Caenorhabditis elegans: one gene and its partners. The protein of the gene in region 4 interacts with the protein of the main gene of each other region in a pairwise test. Each region holds a gene or a part of one and is shown on either strand. Other genes may lie near its edges.

What was found.
Region 1: the proteins of sup-36 (region 4) and fbxc-53 interact in a two-hybrid assay, tested with the Caenorhabditis elegans proteins (2 studies listed by BioGRID).
Region 2: the proteins of sup-36 (region 4) and fbxc-20 interact in a two-hybrid assay, tested with the Caenorhabditis elegans proteins (2 studies listed by BioGRID).
Region 3: the proteins of sup-36 (region 4) and ptl-1 interact in a two-hybrid assay, tested with the Caenorhabditis elegans proteins (2 studies listed by BioGRID).

Annotation. Positions count from the first base shown.
Region 1 is NC_003280.10:3,709,747-3,713,585, reverse strand, and holds fbxc-53 (F-box C protein), read right to left. Parts: upstream 2,296-3,839; 5' UTR 2,281-2,295; coding exon 2,183-2,280; intron 1,972-2,182; coding exon 1,113-1,971; intron 982-1,112; coding exon 845-981; intron 799-844; coding exon 633-798; 3' UTR 539-632; downstream 1-538. Other genes in the region: srh-100 (Serpentine Receptor, class H), read left to right, coding at 1-62, 200-289, 337-398; srx-110 (7TM GPCR serpentine receptor class x (Srx) domain-containing protein), read right to left, coding at 2,634-2,757, 2,804-3,006, 3,103-3,275, 3,331-3,486, 3,634-3,707, 3,751-3,839.
Region 2 is NC_003280.10:2,417,176-2,421,299, reverse strand, and holds fbxc-20 (F-box C protein), read right to left. Parts: upstream 2,165-4,124; 5' UTR 1,812-2,164; coding exon 1,741-1,811; intron 1,690-1,740; coding exon 796-1,689; intron 746-795; coding exon 631-745; 3' UTR 507-630; downstream 1-506. Other genes in the region: F42G2.7 (phytanoyl-CoA dioxygenase), read right to left, coding at 2,295-2,663; F42G2.5 (Major sperm protein), read left to right, coding at 3,329-3,497, 3,561-3,851, 3,899-4,044, 4,093-4,124.
Region 3 is NC_003281.10:763,195-771,202, reverse strand, and holds the start of ptl-1 (Microtubule-associated protein), read right to left. Parts: upstream 6,015-8,008; 5' UTR 6,004-6,014; coding exon 5,938-6,003; intron 4,700-5,937; exon of another isoform or gene 4,550-4,699; intron 2,646-4,549; coding exon 2,345-2,645; intron 2,297-2,344; coding exon 1,984-2,296; intron 1,916-1,983; coding exon 1,829-1,915; intron 1,314-1,828; coding exon 1,136-1,313; intron 942-1,135; coding exon 693-941; coding exon of another isoform or gene 684-692; exon of another isoform or gene 609-683; coding exon of another isoform or gene 519-608; intron 472-518; coding exon of another isoform or gene 394-471; exon of another isoform or gene 284-393; intron 219-283; coding exon 36-218; 3' UTR 1-35.
Region 4 is NC_003282.8:6,599,844-6,602,987, forward strand, and holds sup-36 (SUPpressor), read left to right. Parts: upstream 1-1,830; 5' UTR 1,831-1,862; coding exon 1,863-1,976; intron 1,977-2,036; coding exon 2,037-2,432; 3' UTR 2,433-2,600; downstream 2,601-3,144. Other genes in the region: F38A5.8 (uncharacterized protein), read left to right, coding at 39-239, 457-648; F15B10.3 (BTB domain-containing protein), read left to right, coding at 2,837-2,893.

The DNA of each region.
Region 1 (3,839 bases), on a different chromosome or scaffold from region 4:
AATTATTTTTACATCTAGTTTTTATTCGCAAGAAATGATGAATCTAGGTGTGGACGTTGCAGGTAAGATTGATGAAAAGCAGCCGACATATCCCGGCTGTCACAATACTTTAGATTGATACGACACTTACCCGGGAAGTGTCGGACGCATCACATAACCTGTAAGTTGTCGGCTGCTTAGATTCATAATTATTCTTCAGGACTTCATGGCATCGGTGAAAGTATTGCAGTTATTTTCGTTCATTCACCTTACCGGAAAGCCGCTGGGCAGCTAATTTTCAGATGGAACGGTGAGTTGGAAGTTAACTCTTGCAAGTGATATAGTATACATTTTAAGATCCACAATCTAGCACACGAGTTTCTGCTGTACGGGGGAATTCCAGTGCGTTCACTATTTGAGTTTTTGATTTTTGGATAAAAAATAATTAACTATGGAGATTCAGTTTTGTCAATTGGTTATAATAAATTGTAAATAAAGTACAGTGAAAAATTGTGTTTTACTAAAAAAACATGCATTTATTTTGCGCCCGACACCTAACAGGTATTTGGAAACTTTATTACTTGAACAATTTAAAAGTAAATTTTCAAATAAATTCTGTTGTTTAGGAAGTTGCATATAATTGAATTAAAAATTTAACGAGGAATCGTGTCCCCCCTCTTCATAACTTCCATGCACAGACTCCATTTGCAGGGCTGAGGACGGGTGAGTCCTTCTTCACTAATTTTCCCTCCGCCATAGATTGCCAGCTCCAAATCCCCATCAATTAGCATGCTCAATCCGTTGGAAAAATCTGTATTTCTGAAAAATAATAGATTTTTTTTCTGAAAACACTTCAAAAACATACTCAAGCTTCTTAATTATTGCTGGATGAGCTCCGTGGCTTTCCTTCAAAAAGTCTAAAATGTCCAAAACCTCTTTGTAGTCTTCTCGAATGCCTACTTGGACTAAGGACCCTATAGGGCGGGAAGATGTGGCCCAGCTCTGAAAAATTTAAAAAAAATTAAAACGACCGACATCTACCGGGTTCCACAAAAAAACCCGGTAAGCCTATGCCTAAGCCTAAGCTTAAGTTTAAGCTTAAACCTTAGCGAGTTTCCAACGTGGAAACTTACCTGAACCAGCTGGGGAAAGCTTTCAATTATCACAATATCAGGAAAGATTTCCAATTTCTGATTTTGTAGAGCTGAGAGCAGAGTAGTTTTCAGCATACGGCTCAGGAAGGTGCCTGCCTCCACAATCCGAAGTACTGGACAATTCTGCACCAGAGGCAACATCAATAGATCAACATTCGTATTAGTGACGTTCAAGGTTAGCTTCTTAAGCGAGCTGTGATCCAAGAACGGAGCAAGTTCCAAAATATCGATAGATGCTGTTGAACTGCAGTCAATTTCTCTTACTTTTAGTGTAAGCAAATCTTTTCTCATCAAAAAGTCAGGAAATGATTGAACTTTTAGTAGTTTGATTCTCGATCCGTTACTGAAAAAAGCATCGAAAATTTTTTCATAAGCAATGTCAACTGGAATTTCCTTGGTTACTGTAATTGCCGTTCCATCTTCCTCGGAAATTGTGATTTCACAATTTCCAGTTCTACCGTGTTCCGAAGAATCTTGAAGCCGGTTTTCCCTTCGAAACCGAAGCCGTCTCTTCTCAAGACTATCCAGGTCCCCAAAAGAAAGTCGATCGGGACCCTGATTGCCCATAGGTCTCCATAAATGATGCAAGTCATTCATGTCAAACAGGGATGGGGGACCAAGGTCCATCACCAAAAGGCGATTATATTCTGCATATTCATATTCTGGTCGCCGGCGAGCCACACCTTCAGGCTTCGGGGCTTTTTCAGCAAGCTTTTTGAAAAGATATGATCTGTTCTGGATCATGATTTCAAATTTATCAAGGATAACCTCTTCGTGGGCATATGGTAGCAGAGCATTGACAGACCTGAGCTCGGGAATATGAATGTGAATTTGTTCTCTGAAAAAATATTTTATAATTGTTTTTTGTTACTGTAATATACTCAAAATTGTCCCTTTATTTTAGCCAAATTTTATCGCTTTTTTTTTGGATATTTTGAACTTCCAAATTTGAATAAATTTGAGGAATATTTAAGAAATCTCATTTTGAAATTCGGGTTTTTTAAAGTTTTTCTTCAGTCTATTTTCAAGCTTAATCACTATTCACTAACCTTTTCTTCACACTCAAAAACTTGAGAACGGATTTCAGCGAGGTGTAAGAGGTGTAATTCAACTTTTTTGGCCGAGAAGAAGAATAAGAAGCGTCCATCTTTCGGAGAATCAGGGAAGCAAAATGGGCAACTGAGCACCTTGGGGAGAGAGGGATTACGAGAAGATTAGTTCCCCCTTTTCCACTCCAATAGAGCATGATAATTATAGACGTATGTAATGTGCATGGGGATTAGGGATCAGATTTCGATTGTGCTACGACAAGCTTTTTGAAAATGTAATCTGGGTAATGGATATTTTCTTTGAATTTTGCGTTCAAAGTATTTTGCAAAAAAAACTTTAAAAACATAAAATAAAAAAACGCCAATTAACTTTCACATTTTTAGATTTTTTAAACAAGTTGTACATACAAAGTTGGGGTAAAACATGATGTTATTTATTTATTTATTTGAATTAGGAAGACACTGGAGGTAGTGAATTTTCACTATTAATCAAGCCAACTTTCACAGTTTTCCGGGTACTCGGCGTTGACTTTGGTTTCAAATTTATGCGATAGTTGAAGAGATACATTATCAATCTGAAATATAGAACACATTTCCAAAACTTTGACATCAAAAGCTTACCCATCAACTACATATACCATCACATCAAACCCCATACTGACGAGCACCGCACAGACATTCATCTCACAGTATTCTAGGGATAAATGGTTAACCGCCACGTCGACCATGCAAATCCAATCTTGGAAGCATGATTGGAGAAAGAATCTGATGTTAGACCTCCGCCGACTTTTAGCGGACTCAGAGGAGAGGGATTTGGAAGATTTCTGGAACAAGAACATTCTCTCACAAACCCCAACAGAAGCACTACAGTACCCTACCGTAGTCCAATCTACAGTAGTCCTACAGGCTTAAAAACTCACCGAAAGACAGAATAACTTGATAGCTATCAGGATATTCATGAAATTTGTAGAAACTGCCAATACTAATAAATAATATATCAGGAAGCTTATCAAAGCCTCAACGCATTGATAGTCATTTTCTGAATAGTCGGGAAACGGTACATGGTCGAAGCTGAACGGGAAACGGCAGATGTCTGAGATTCTTTTTTTTTTGGTTAATTGAGTTTTTTCACTTCGTAGAAAGTTAACCTGGCATTCCAATTAGAGTAGAAAACCAAACTGTGAAAAGCCATGATATTGCCATTGCGGCTACTGTAATCCGGGTACTGTACCTTGGAGTGTTAACCGGGGAACACCATACCACAAGAAAGCGGTTAATGGTTATCATTAGTTGGGTTGTGGGGCCTGAAGTTGATTATTGCAACGCTCAAGTTTGCGCGCCAACGAGGTGTGGGTGCCGACCAATCAGAGAAGTGCCGTAGGCGTGGCCATCGTTGCTGATTGGTCGGTTTGATTTTATGCTGCGCGCGTATTCAAAAAGTCTTAACCAACCTTGCAAATAAAGTCCGAAACCCATTGCCTGATTCAGATAGCCGCTCAACGTGTCAGATCCAATCGCGGCGTAACTAAAAAAATTTGAGCTTGAACCGAATCTCTATAATTACCTACAAAGCATTAATAGGCCCAATATAACCAAAATAGATAAGTAGGACCAAAGTATTAGAGATGGATTTCGACGAGCATAGAATGTAAAAAAC
Region 2 (4,124 bases), on a different chromosome or scaffold from region 4:
ACATAGATTTGTTTAAATGTGGAGTACCGAAATTTGACCTATACCCAAACTGACCCAAAACTACCAAATTTTGTAATGAGGCATGCTGAAAATTTCTCAAAAAAAAAGGTTTGGAAAAATTGCCCTTTTTTAAGAAAAATCACATTTTTTCCATTGACTCGGTGTCGCAGCGTCTGGAACTTTATTTTTATTTATTTGGCATTCTTCAATAAATAAACATTGTGGTTTTTAACGGGCGTATATTTTCATAGAATTTGAGAACATAAAAATGAAAAAAGGAATTATTATAAGGAATTAGAATAAAAAAGAAAGCAGAAAAAACATTTTTGGTTATATTAAGTAGGAAGACATTTTCCCATCATCATCGTCATATGAGTTATCAACTGATAATGATGGTAAGTCGTTCTACAAATACTAAAAGGGTAGGCGATATTTGTTGATGTCGAAATTATGATAATGTAAACACAAACAATTAGCAACAACTTCAATGATCAATTCTAGTTTAAAGATTTTAATAAAACTTTATTGAAATTTGCTCAATATCAGAAGTAAATAAATCAGTATCAGGATAAATTGTGAACAGTTATATTTGCTTCTGTAAACAGTTGGGATTTGAATTCAGATGTAAATTTACATAACTTCTCGTTGCTGAACTTTATACTCCAAAATCCATGTATCCACTTTATGACTGACGACAATATCCGTGAAGTTGTTTATATGAATGGTCAGTTGATTCTCAGCAGTTCTGCAAAAAAAAAACTATATTTTAGAGCAGCACCATCAAACTTTACTTACCCTTCTTCCACATTATAATTTATTCGAATTTTATCCAGAACATCAATTATGTTTCCCTCATTCCTCATTGCAAATGAGAAATGCGTACCAACTTCCCGCCCGTGCTCCATCCAATCCTCGAAAAGCCGAAAAGTAGCATCATACAAGTACGCATTAATGTAAACTCTTTTGTGCCGAACTTTGAGCAATCCCTCCCCGGAAATCACTTCGCAGTATAAAAGTAGCATCTCAGCGGTTTGAATAAAATCAATATCAAGATTCGGAGCATTCATAAGGGGATCAGAAATGATGACACCTGATAGTGGTAGGCTTTTGATATCCAGTAGATGTTGTGTGGCATTTAATAGCTTTTCCCGGATTAAGCCATTTAACTGTACAACTTTAGCACGAATTTTGAGGTGTCTCGGGATTCGGAGTATTCCAGAGTTTTCCACGCAAAATTGTCGGGCTTTGATAGTAGGCCTTCCTCCCAGAAGCTTATCAATTAGGTATTTCATAGCATCGTGAAGCTTCCGCTCATTGTATTGTAATTGCTCAGAGTGATTTCCAACGGAAAACCGGATGTAATGAGTATAACTGGAGCTGGGAGCATTTTTCAAATCAGCTCGAGAAATCCTTTGCTCATTGTATGATGTTGGATTGTCGGTTCTGTCATCGACCAAGATCTCCTGTTCTTGTTCCTGGTCTGGCACTACCATTTCCAAATCTATAGATCCTTGGCTATTCACATCATATGGAAATGCTCGTGGCTTAAGCGAATTCTCGATCACATTCAATTCATAGGTGGTGCCATTCAATTTGATGCTGTTCTCATTTAACTTTAAAGATTTCAAATATAAAGGTCTTGATTTGTCAATAGAAGTGATTGTCCGGCACTGCTGGGAGAGTTGGAATCTAGAAAAAAAGCTTGTTTAAACATTAGTAAAATAAAAATAAAAAACTAACTTTTTATCAGGCTTCAGGTGCTGAAGAATGCTCCCAATGCTTGGATATGACAATGGTTTCGAGCTATTCATTTTTGATAATAAAGAATATGGAGAGAATTGAGCAAGCCGGTTCGATTCAACCAGATGTGTCCCATTATAGGATTATCTAGCAGCTGGTCTTATTCGGCAAGGCAGGCGTATCTCATTATCTTCCATCACCTTTTATTTTGATAATTAAAATGAACGACGGGGTATATCCGAATTTTTTGGTACAACAAAGTCACGGAAATCGATTTGATATGGGTCTTTAAAGTTGAGTAGTTAGGTACACCCCTACCACAACTCTGCGTAGACCTTGTTTAGCCATCAAGGAACTTGGTCAGGCTCAGCTACTTACACTACTGTTGCATGGGGCTTTCTAAGCAATCAAGCCAACCGTAAATTTTTAGATTTTTCACGAGAAAACTGAGAATGATCTATAATCTATAAACCACAAACTTTTAAAATAATGTTTCACATAGCACATGCTCGCTGGCAGCCTTTCTGAAAAGGAAAACGCGCTCTAACGGAAAGTTACTCCAAGATATTGAAAATGCGCGCGCGGGCGTGTATTTCGTCGTGACACGAGAACCCATCGGATCGACTGGCACCGGATCCGTGGAACAAGCACGGATGGTAGAACACAAAATCTCCAGCCTTCATCTCAACGGATTCACGTGGAAGGGACATGCCATAGTCCTTGTTCGCGTAGTATGCCATGTTGACAGCACCCTGAAAATGGTTTTTGTTCAGTGAATTCTGCGTTGCTGGGCCAGAAACATACCTCTGGGTTCCTGGGATCACTGGCAGAAAGACAAGTCCTCTGGGCGCCACGGGAAGTAGATCAAATCCTGATGCATTGGGTGACGTGATGCCAGTGATTCCGTGTACTGTGGCTTGCATATGTGTGCATCACTTCAAATCGTCCTTTCCAACGCATTCTCTCACGTGTAGAAAACCATTTGCTTCTGAAAGAATATTGCTGCATGGTCTTGAAAAGTTCGGCCATCGATTTATCGATTTATCCAAAACTCACTGTTTGCAAATCCACGTGTCGAAAGAACCACGATTCTGATGATTTCATCAGCGACATGAAGATGGTAATGAATATTTTTGAATTTCACTTCCTCCCCCTTTTCGTTTTCTTTTGAAACGTGGATTTTTTTCACGTTTGTCTCTCAATTAATTTTTTTTTCAATTTTATAAATTTAATTTTTAATTAAAATAAATATTTTTTAAATAAAAAAACGATGCCTGAAAATGTATTTGAATATAGGATCACTTTGACAGTTAACAGCGATGAGATGATACCACAAAAACTCTATATGAGGACCTTTTTCAACAATATTTCTATTCTACACATTATGAAAAAAACAAGTAACACATGAAAAGAAATTGTTCCTAAGTCTTAGATAAGAGTAACACCCAAATTGATAACAGTTTTCTTTCGAAAGTTGCTGCCTGTTAAATGTCATAAAATTTCTGGTAAATATTTCTAAAATTACTTGAGTTAGGCTTTTACTTTACATACTCTTCTCTTTGCATTTAACTAATATTACAGATAAACAATGCCTGAAAAAAAGAGTCTTCTAGAAGTGCCTCCAGAGCTCGTCTTCAGTGGTCCATTCGATCACGTGATCACTACTTACATGACGCTCACAAATATATCACAAAGCCCAGTGTGTTTTCTAGTAAAAACAACGGTTCCAAATAGTTATTGTGTTCGTCCAAACAGAGGTGAGTATTTTGAAGAAAAATGAATGACACGGTTACCGGACGGCCATTGTTTCATTTTTAAAGGAATTCTAAACATTGGGGACTCGAAACAAATTGAAGTGATGCTCCAACCTTTGGAAAAAGTTCCACCTGATGCTAAGCAGCACAAGTTTCTGGTTCAATCGTGCGTCGCGCCTTCCATTGATGTTTCTGATTTGGAATCAGTTTGGAAAAATGTCAAACCAGACGAGCTTACCTACAATAGGCTTGTGGTTACTTTCGTTGACAATACAGATTCAAAATCAAACATCGAGTGCGAAATATGTACCTTGGAGTTTTCAAGTGTTGTTGATAACCAGATTCCTAGGATTCTTCGTGAGTTTTGATGCCTCTAAAGTGCGGCAATACAATTTTTTGTACAGAGTGTGGCCACTCAATTTGTCAAAGCTGTGCATCAAAGCTGGCCAAAAACTGTGTTATCTTATGTCCATTTTGCCGGAATGAAACCAATGTGAGCAGTGTGGCAAGTCTTCCCAAAAACTTTGCATTACTGCAAGCAATTGATCAGGTAAGTTGATAACAAAGTTGTTCTCAACTGTTGAACAAATTTTTAAAGAAAACTTTACGAGTTCCACCGTTGGAAATCGC
Region 3 (8,008 bases), on a different chromosome or scaffold from region 4:
AATATTTGAAAGCATATTATTAAGCGCGGTATACATCAGCGATTGAATATAAAATCAGGAGAAAGAGGATAAATGGCGCCTGGAAATTTGTTGGGCAGTAGAGAATTGCTTGAAGATCTCTGTGAGACACTTTGTCGTTTTGCAAAATCCTTCTTCTTATCAATTATTGTGGCCGTCATCATTTTTGGTCGACTTACTGCCACTTCGCTGGAAATTACCTGAAATTTCGTGGGGCAAATTGTGATCCAGTGATGGATGATAAACTGTGCTGAGAAGATGAATTATTCAAATAATCAAATTTATTACAAAAAGAGGTCATCAGTTTGCTGAAAAAATACAAAACCTCTGAAGATCAGTGAGGTGTGGTAAAATTCAAGTGAAAGCGTGGTCCGATCATAACGAGCTGATGTCCAGCGTAGAATGATTCCGGCTCGAGTCCGTCGACACGTAGCGGATTTTTTCGTCGAAAATCTGAAGAAAAGCGTGATATTGTGTGTGTAGCCTAGTTTATTACGAACTTGAACATTTCCACCACCAGGCCGATGATTCATATTGTCCTTTGACCCAACCTTACTCTCGGCTTTCCAGTTCAATTTTTGACTTAATATCTGAAAATCAATAGCTGCAATATGAAAAGCCACCACGTCAAATTCAAGTTCACTCGTGTTTCAAATTCTTAATCTTCAAAATACCTGAACATTTCCACCAGCAGGCTTATGCGCTGCGTTGTCCATTGACCCAACTTTTGATTTAGCTTGCCAAGTCAACTTCTCCGAAACTATCTTCACGTCAGACTTTGCTGGCTGATAATTGGTTTTCGAGCCAACCTTTGGTGAAGCTGCCGAAAAATCTAGCTTCCTGTTTTCGATTTGAACGTTTCCGCCTCCGGCAACGTGTGTTGCGTTTTTCAAGGAGCCAACTTTGGATTGGGCGTTGTAGAGCTGAAATAACTGAATGTGTAAAAAATATCTAGGTTTTGATAATGCAACTTCTGGCGAACATCCTTATTTGGTGTTCTCCAAAAATGAGATCTACAAGACCGATTTGTTCAGCTCTTTTTTGAGCTAAACAGCGACCTTCATAAACGTCATCTGATTGGCTCAAATCGCAGAAAAATTTTTTAATGTTCACTCACTCTTTTCTCCGAGAAAATTTCCACATTTCCGCCGCCCGCCTTATGATTGGTGACACTTCCCACTTTGCTCTTCACATTTACAAATTTGGCGTTAACCTTTGGCGTCATTCTTCCAACATTATCGATGCTTCGCGTAGACGTGGATTTTTGAACATCCGACCGTTCTCGAGACATTTTTCTGAAGATTTGTTACTTTTTTACTAATTGGCTATAATAGGGATTATTCAAGCCAAGCAAAATTTTCAATTTATGGTCAATCAGTAATGATAACATTCTATATATAAGTAACAACTATATGTAATAACTCAAATTCTACGTGGAAATGTGAGAAAGTTTGAAAAATTGAGATCGCAGGTGCCATAAAAGAAATAGGAGCAGTTGGGTGCACAACAATAGAGGAAGCAATTATGTTTTGCAATACCCAGACAACAAATATTCCGCACCAAGTTTAGGTGATGTATTTTCACTATGGGATAGTTTCAGGAAATGAGTATAGATACGTCCATTAGCAAACTTAGATCTAGTTATTTACTACCACGAATGAAAAAAATAGGCAAAGATACGTCTAATACATATAAGCGCAGAGAAATGAAAAAAAAAAACGTATTTTGGATACAATAAGACGGACAGAACCAAACCCATCTTTAATCTTCAAATAACTCGAGAAATTGTTATGAAAAAATAAACACTCACGATATGGGTCTCGGAGATGGCGCTGTTGAAGCAGTTTGTCTTGGTGTACTAATAGCGCGTTGAGACGAGGGAGTAGCAGTTGCTGGCCTAAAACAAGGAAATGCTCAGAATTTGTGATGAGTGGTCACTAGGTGAGCAACAAATGAAAAAATTACCTTGGCAAAGATGCTGGTATCGGTTTTGGCTGTCGCAGAATCGCCGTTGGTGGCCGAATCCCAGATCTTTGTGGGGTCTTATGTTGGGGTTGTGATGGAGTTGGGCTCATTTGTTTCTTCTCCTCGACTCTCTCGTTTTCATTGTTCTGCATAATTCTGTCGGCTTGTTGATCGGAGGTACCAGACGTTTCGGAAAAGTTTAGAGACTCGAGCTCTCTCGGAGCGATATCTTCCATTGTTGGGGCGTCGGGGATCGGACTCGAAGGCTTGGATTTTCCAGATTTTTCAGGTTCTTGTTCTCGAGGAGGAGATTCTGAAAATCTAGAGATTAAGAATGCTGAAGATTACATTTGAAACCTACCGACTACAACTTCTTCTTCCTTCTCGACTACTGGTTCGGGCTCTGGCTCCGGTTCAGGCTCTGGCTCCGGCACAGGTTCAGGTTCTGGCTCCGGTTCAACCTCTGGTTCAGGCTCCGGTTCAGGTTGATACTCTGGCTCAGGCTCTGGTTGTGGCACCGGTTCAACTTCTGGTTTAGGCTTCGGTTCAGGCTCCGGTTCAGGCTCCGGTTCAGGCTCCGGTTCAGGTTCTGGTTCCGGTTCAGGTTCGGGCTCCGGTTCTACTGCAACCTCCGGAAAAGAGCCCTGACTATACTGAGTTTCCTAAAACTAATAATTTTAAAATTTTCTCCAATAAAACTGAAAAGACAAACACAGAAGCAAAACGCGAAGTATATCTCAAAAATATTCCGAAGGGTGTCAATTTCTGTGTATTTGAGTGTGTCACAATGTATTCAGATGGGTGGTAGGAGGTGTATTCATGTGTAGAAGTGAATAGGCAAAAAAGGGGGGGGGGGATAAATGGTAAATGTGCCATAAATGTGTCCTTGAGATTTACAATTCACACCGACAAACCGAAATCGGGATGGATCAAAGAATTGTGAGGACTTAAAACATCAAAGTGGAGTTTAACGGGAGAATTAGCAGTTTCCTCGAAATTTAACCCACAAATTGGTAATTTTTTGGGGATATTGTTATTGTACATCAATATGTGTACACTAAATAAAGGGCGGCGTGGAAATAGTGAATAATGTACAAACAGTGAGAGAGAGACACACGATGCGATGTGAAATTGAATACCAACAGAGCTTTTGGGAAGAGAAAATAAAAATGAAGAAAGGGAAGGATAAGGGATTTACTATTTTAGTGGCTTTTGTTAGATCTATGTGGCGATGTGGTCGTTAATTAGGTTTGCCGATTTGCCAATTTGCAGCAAATTTTCAATTCCGGCAAATTTCCTATTTGGCCAAAATGTTATGAGGGACGGAAACACTTAAAATTGTGCCTTTTCGAAACATTTTCCCGTTTTCTTTTTCCGGCAAATTTGGAAAATCATCAATTTTTAGTTTTGCTCGGTTATAAAAATAAAACTGAAAATATATTCCATTTTTCGAAGCTCGATGAAAAATATATTCAGAAAAACATTAGCACAAATAGAAATTGGTTTTCCCCCTCCTTACAAATTAATTGAAAATCTCTAAAACTACAGACACATGACTTCAGAGTGGTCAGGAATAACAAAAAAAAGCATTCTGCCAAGTGAAAAAAAGAGAAAAAAACTGGCTTTCCACGGGGTCAACCCGGGAAAGAGTAAGTATCCATAAAAAATTTAGCGTTTTCTTTTCTTTTCGCCCTTCTCCTGACAACACCCGTCGGTGTATAGCTGTGAGAATTGACAAACAGTCGAGTGAGAAGCAAAACATTGCAACACGGGCAAAAAAAAACATAGAAATACACTCGAAAACGCAAATGAGAGAGCAAATATTTTTTGTGCATATTTTGGTGGACAGGTTAGGTGGGCTCATTTTTGTTGAATAAAATTAGAAAATTAAAGTGCTAGATACTTTTGTATATGAAAACTAGCTAAACTTTAACATTTTTGGCAACTTCTCCAAATGATGCCACTCAAAAATAGGTTTATAAAACATCTCAAAATATGTACAGAAAGAATTAAAGGGATATCTATTTTGCTTGAAATACAAAGAATTCAGTTCATTTATCCTGTGTCTGAAATTCAAGTATGCCCAAAGTAAGCTTGCCGATCTTGAAGAGCTTCAAGCTTAAAGAGGAGTTTTGCTGAGGTGTATTTTTCCACTTCAGTAATATGAAAACTGTCTCACTCAGTATTTTCCTAACTTGACTAACCCAAAAAGGCAGGGGAAAATTAAACATAGGTGAACACTCAAACTAGTGGATGTGATGGATCCCACCCGGACGATGATTACTGTCTTCGGAAGAGGAAGGTCTTTCTGTGGCGCGACACTTATTTGCCCAAGTCTCACAGGGACATGCGCTATTTTACTAAGGACAAACCACTCAATTCATTGCAATTCGTTTCTCCTAATTCAAATGTGAAGACGACGAAGAATAAGGAGAAACAGGCAGGAGACAAAAAAAAGCACATGAAAAGCAAATTTTGTCAAACTACAACAAGAATTGTAAAATCGTGCGTGCTTGGAAGTCGAACTGGGCTCGTGAAACTCGAATTCAAACAATTCAAACAAAAAAAAACCGATGATCTGATTTTTTGTCTCTTGCTGTCTCCCTCTCTTGCTTCGTTATGTCAATAAATCAAGAAGCTGCCTCACGGCGGGTTGAGAGATAGACAAAAAACTACTCACGGAAGGCATCAGAGGGATAATCAACTACTGACAAAGACACCTAGAGACAAACAAAGTGATTATGACTACGGAAGGGAGCAAGTTCTGCTAGAGTCAGTTTGTGCATGTTCCTGTTGGAAACTTGATGGTTGAACAGATTAGTTCTTATCTGAACAGCAAAACACAAGGATTGTTTGAAATAGTCAACTTTTTTGTTTGTTGAGATTGACCTACGGGCTTTTGATTCAGGGTTTAGGTACAGGACGAATATTAAGCTTTGGCAAGTCTCTGGATGCTCAATTTTTTGTTAACCTTATTATGCTCTTACAATTAGGCTAAATTTTTAAATTAGACCGCGGCTAATGCTGAAACTCCTAGAAAAATTGAAATCACGTTTTGCACTATGGGTGAAATTGGATTACTAAAGATTCATTTATAATAAAATTTTGTCCTTAATTTTACAGAGGAGCTAAGTTGAAAATTTTTCAACTCTTCACATATTCAAACTTTAGCTCCTAATTTAAAAACTAGGTCAAAGATTGTAACTAATAACCTCATACACACCCCGCTCGCCCACCATGAGAACCGCAAACAACAACTAATTTTGTTTTTTTCCTCTCTCTCTCACATCACCAACATCCATTAGATATCTATCCCTGAATTTCTCTCAGCTATTTGTGTTCCGTTTCGGACGTTCTCATGGATATTCTTGGCTAATCAAAGAGAAGAATTAAAGAATAAGAAGAGAAGAGTCGTCTTCCGGTTCAAGGACGCTTTTGAATAGTTAGAATGATGTCCAAAAGATGGAATAAGTCGTTTTAGGGAAAACAAAACCAAGCCATTAAATACGTACAACATGTAGAATTATATAAAAGTATGATTGAGAAATTTAAGAATATTGTTTGAAATTTATAAATACACTGTTTTCTTAGAAAATTGATCTTCAGAGTTTAAGGAATTGGTGCAGTTGTTGTGTACTTACTTGTGAAATTCAACTAAACGTTTCCATTTTTGGATGCTCAAAACAAATTCAAATTTTCAAACCAAAAACGAATCCTAAAAACCGAAAATGTGTGTATAATAGGCTTGCGAGTATGATAAATGAGTATGCATTTGGCAGATTGCCAATTTTCACAATGAGTGACAAATGAGACATGAAAGAGATCGAGGAGGAGGGGTTTAATGAAATGAGTATATTTTTCATTTTGACCATCAATAGCAGCAGAAGCAGCAGAAAAAGCAAATGTTCTGTGTGTGTACAATAAGCCAACACCTCACGCAACAGCTGAGCATACCATCGAATTTTCGTTTTCGCCAGGGGAGCCTGGCTCGGATCCAGGCTCTGATTGAGGGGTTGACATTTTTCCTGAAAAATTGAAATTGGGAGAAAATTGATAAGAAAAGAGGAGTAAAACTAGATCCACTTGCGGTGGTGGATTGAGGTAAGCAAACAAAAGAAGGCGATATCAATGTCAGTTTCAATATTTGTTAATCTATGTTCCAATTTTTAGTTTTTAGAGTGTTCAGATAAAACCGTTTTGAGTTGAAGTAAATATGTTGAATTATACTTTTTCGACAAAAAAAAACGAAATTATCCTATTTTTTTCTAATTTTTGAACTAAAATCGAGTTTTCTCTAGAAAACGGCCAAATTAACAATTATTTGAAAATGAATTTTCGCGAACTTTTCTGTGATATTTTGCATTAAAGTCCCCCGAATTGTTTTTTGACCAACCTATTAAATTTGCAAAAAATACTTTTAATTTTGAATTAAAACCTTGAGAAACAACCATAACGCCAAGAAAAAATTTGAAATTCTAGGAAATCCCATATTCAGAGCCTTCCTACACACATACACACACAAAAAACTTCTCTCACTCTATATCTCTCTTCATCAGAAGACGTCAAGTCTTCGATGATCTAGTCATGGGCGGTCGTCGTCGTTTTTCTGGTCGTCTTTCCCGGTTGTGTGAGGGGAGACACTAAAAATATGCACAAATCAATGAGTGAAAGCGCGCGACTTCTTCTTCTTCTTCTACTTTGCCAGCGGCACTCAGTCCGTTTGAGTTCGCGCACGCGAATATATGCAGAAGAGAAAAGAGTCCCTTCCGTTGCATAAGGTACCTTGTGAAATACAAATGAGTTATACTGAACATGCCAAAGAGAGAAATAGAGAGAGAATGTGAAAACGGAAATGAGGATGGATTGAGTGGCCTGTGTGGGACCTTCTTTCACTTGAAGATCCTCTTTTAGAATGTGTACAATTTTTGAGCAGATATGGGTTACACGGTAGTTCACAAGGATTTTGAAAGGAACTCGCATGGAATAAGGAATTTTTTGGAATTAATGACTGGAAAGTTGTACTGTTTCCATTTGTAATTTTGATTTTAGTCAAAATTTTTAGGTCGCCGTTTGCCGAACCCTAATTTTTTACGGCGATCGGCAGTGGCCGGTTGCCTAACACCCCTTGTTTTAGGCATTTTTCGGCACTTTTCGGCATTCTCAAAATCTTTGATGTTTTGTTGTTTTTGTTGTATTTTCTAAATCTAATTAGTTCAATTTCAAGGTTTGATAAGGAGCGTCTTGGTTTTAATTTTCAAGCAAAGATCAATTTTATTTTTTAACGACCAGACTGTTTGGATAGTCAAAAAAGGATCCCAGAGGCAAGAATGATTCAAAACAACTGTACACATGGACCGCCATAGACAATATCATCTCTCGAGGGTTTTATGGTGGGGTGACGATGTGTCGACTGAAAGAATATCTCCTCTATATGGCTAATAATTCAAATATGTTGACTTTTGGTAAGTGTTAAAAATAAAGGTGACTTGAGAGTGTTAGGGTACAAAAGACACAGAGATGTCCCTTGATTGTTCGCAGAAAACAATTTTTAAGGGTATGACTACAATATTTGTAGATTTATGTTTCAAGGATGAATGTGAAAAACTTGAATATATTCGATTAAATTTAAAAAAAAATCAACATTTTTCACAACTGTCGAAAAATGCCGAACATTTTTCGGCATTCGCGGATCTTTTGACCAACTTTATTTTCGGCGAACGACATTCGCCGTTCACAGAACCAAATTTTTTTCTTCGGCAAATGGCATTCACAGTTTGCCGTTTGCCGCACAGTCCTGATTAGAACTACAAGAAAAACATTTTATTTTTATTTTTGACGTTAACGCTAAATAGCTAAATATTAAAAGCTAAATATTAGGGGCCTGTCAAACAAGTATTAGGACACGCATGCCTATTTCGTAACTCTTGTGATTGTGATGGATGAGTACGAAAATTCAGAAATTGAGGGAAGAAGGAAAAAGGAAACACCCTTTTTGATGCCGCTGGCAAAGAAAAAGTTACAAAGA
Region 4 (3,144 bases):
ATTATTTCAGAATTTGTAAAAGTGTCTATCAAAAAAGAATGGCAGACGATGGATACGAAGTAATTGGTCCCGTCTATTCGGTGCCTCCTCTTGCATCACCGATGCCCACGATGGTTCCTCCATCGCCACTCGCAGTCACTCCAAAGGTTAAAAAGGATGAAGATTCTGGATCAAGTGCGGCGGAGACGACCAGAGCCGGAAAACATCGAAAAAGGACAAACGCCTCAGAGTATGAAGTGGTTGGTTTTTTAATGATTTTGGCTTTTTTTAGCGATCTAGCTTTTCTTGTTGAGAAAATACTGAAAAGAATAGTATGACATGAGTATTGGTTAACAGAAAAGTCCCAGAAGTTTCTGTAATTTTGTTAAATTCTTCAAAACAAGAATCTTCAAAAAAGCCTTTTTTTTTAATTGAAAGTAACTCCTCTTTGCTTACATCAATATTATATAAATTCAGAGCAATATGGAGAGCACCCACCATGATGTAGTTTCGATCAAGCACAGACCAAACTCGTGTGACGTTTGCCACGTGGCGACTCTTTTGTTCCTGATTGTTATGGTGATCGCCATATCGACTCCAGTTCTCCTTTCTGCAAGTAAGGGCGGACTTCCATGGATTGAGAATAAGTTGATGGAAGAGTCTAATTAAGAGTACTGCCGAGTTTGAATAAAGATTTTATGGGGAATTTTTTTGTACTCACATCTTTCAAAAGTTTCCTGAAAAATTACTAAGCTTACAGTAACCTTACAGTAACGCTCTTTACGCAAATGTAAAACTTTTACATGTATTTACATAAACAAAAGTTTTACATATTTAAAATGACCATGCTTTTTTCAAAAATCTCAACGCTTTAAAGCGCTATGAACCCCTGAAGCGCCAAAATCTCTGCGTCTATTTAATTTGAATTCCGCGCGCAAATGAGCGACCATCGTGTACTCTCGGACAATCAAATAATTTGTTGATTTTCCACAAGTTTATGTGTTCTTCGAATTTTCTCATTATTTTTCAGTTTTTTAATTGTATTAATAAATTTATGAATGCATTTTGAATGGATTGATGCTCAATGAGACAAAACTCTTGTTTTATTGAATTATTTGGTTGTATTCCCGCATTTTTTCTATTCCACTGAAAAATAAGTTTTTTTTTCATTTCGATCTTTGGGATCTTTCAAATATGACTATTTTCTCTTATTTCTACGAATAACTTCATCTATTGAAAGTACTCTAGTTTCCCAATTCAAGAAAAAACATTTTTACATGAATGTGAATTCCCTCTCGAGACTTATCCGAATAATTAAAAGAACTTTTTACTACTCCTTCCAGAATATTAAAAATCTACCGTTGTCTATCTTCCAAAGTGTTCATTGCTCCATTCGCAATAACATTTTTATCGCACAATAATAACCGTTTTCTCAGCCACTGTTTTTCCAATCCACTTGTTACACTACACTCGAAATATCGGGAAAGTTCAAATTCCACTGTTCCAAGTTCCAAATGTATTGGTTGCAGTATCGATCGGAAAACAATAAACTCCACTCATCCTGCGTAGCACACCTCCTTCTATTTCGAAATCAATGTTTCCTCGTCATATGTTGTATCTCTCACACCCTCCGTCTTCTTCTCTATACTTGTAAAAGAGCGCGTCGCGCAATACTCATAGAGTTTCATTCTTTTGCATTTATTCAGTCATTCATCATATTCTTCTTTTCTCTTGCTTATCTTTGGAATTCCTCTGACATTCATTCTACCATTTACTAGAATTATAACATTGATTTTGTAAATACTCTTCCTCATTCTCTTGCAATAAAAAACAATTTCCTAACCGAAATCATTTCAGAACTTGCACTACATCTTCCGTTAACAATGCCATCTTGCGAGATCAAATTCGACTTCAACGACTCTGACGAGTCAGTCACTGTTCGTGAAACTCGCATTATCCTGCTTCTTCCAGTCATCCGTCGCGCTGTTGAGCTCCAGGTAAGATATCAGATTTTTTTTTTTGAGAAATATAGATTTAAAAATAAACGTTTTTTTCAGTATCCGGATTTCGCGACCGAGGAGAATGCGGTGATTGAAGCTCCATTCAGGGTTCCATTCAAGAAGGATGCTGGAGTATTCCTCTTCGATACCATCGCTCGCTACGCTGCACCAACCGATGACAATGTCCATGAGATCACTGTTGAACAAAGTTACCCAGAAGCTGGACCGAAGACCTTGGATGAGCTCAAAGAAATCATTGAACTCGCCAACTTCTGGGAGTGTACCACTTACATGGAGTGCATCGGATTTGCGATTGCAAAGAAGTTGGAGGACAAGACCATCGAAGAGATCGCCGCTTTCATGGGAGTCGAATGCAATCCACCAGGAAACTTCTTCGCAGAGGAAGACGGATGGATTCATCCACCAGCAGACGCTTTCCAGAATGTCCAATAGATCCGATCCCCTCGTAATTTGCTCTGATCTCCCACTGCCAATTTCCATGATTTTGTGTTAAATATATTCAAGCTCAATACTTTCACTTTTTACCTCCTTGTAATATATTAAATACTTATCAGAACTTTTTCAAATTGATTTTAAGGAATGAATAAAATGATTTTCTCGAAATGTGCTCACAAATCTTAAAAAGAACTCGAAATCAGAATTGCCAAAAAAATCAACAGAGAGGAAAGTAATTGAGGACGATTCATGCAAAATTACAGTATCAACTCGATTAGTTCAACCGTGAATTGAATAAAAAAAATCGACGTCAAATCCACGGAAACAAGGTTGCCACGATTTTCAGAGGTACTCGCCCTATTCCAGTTATTCCGGATTTTGATGAATTACCGTAGCTCACGATGTTTACTATTCCTTTCAAATTGAAAGTTTCAATGTCATCATACTTCCGTGAAAAAGTGAGACATTCAGTTTTAAAGGCACATGATTTTTTTCTGAGTTATTATCGCGACGATTTCGGCTAGTGCTCACGCTTTTACAAATGTATGATAGCTCTCCTAGTTGAATTTTGTTTTAATCTGAAAACGTTTAAATGGGAATATTCAGCCCAGATGTTCTGCTTTTAATACTACATGTGCAAATTTGGAACACTGCCAAGTGATCGATATTATTGTGTATCTGACATTGTTCAATATATATCTACTTCCAA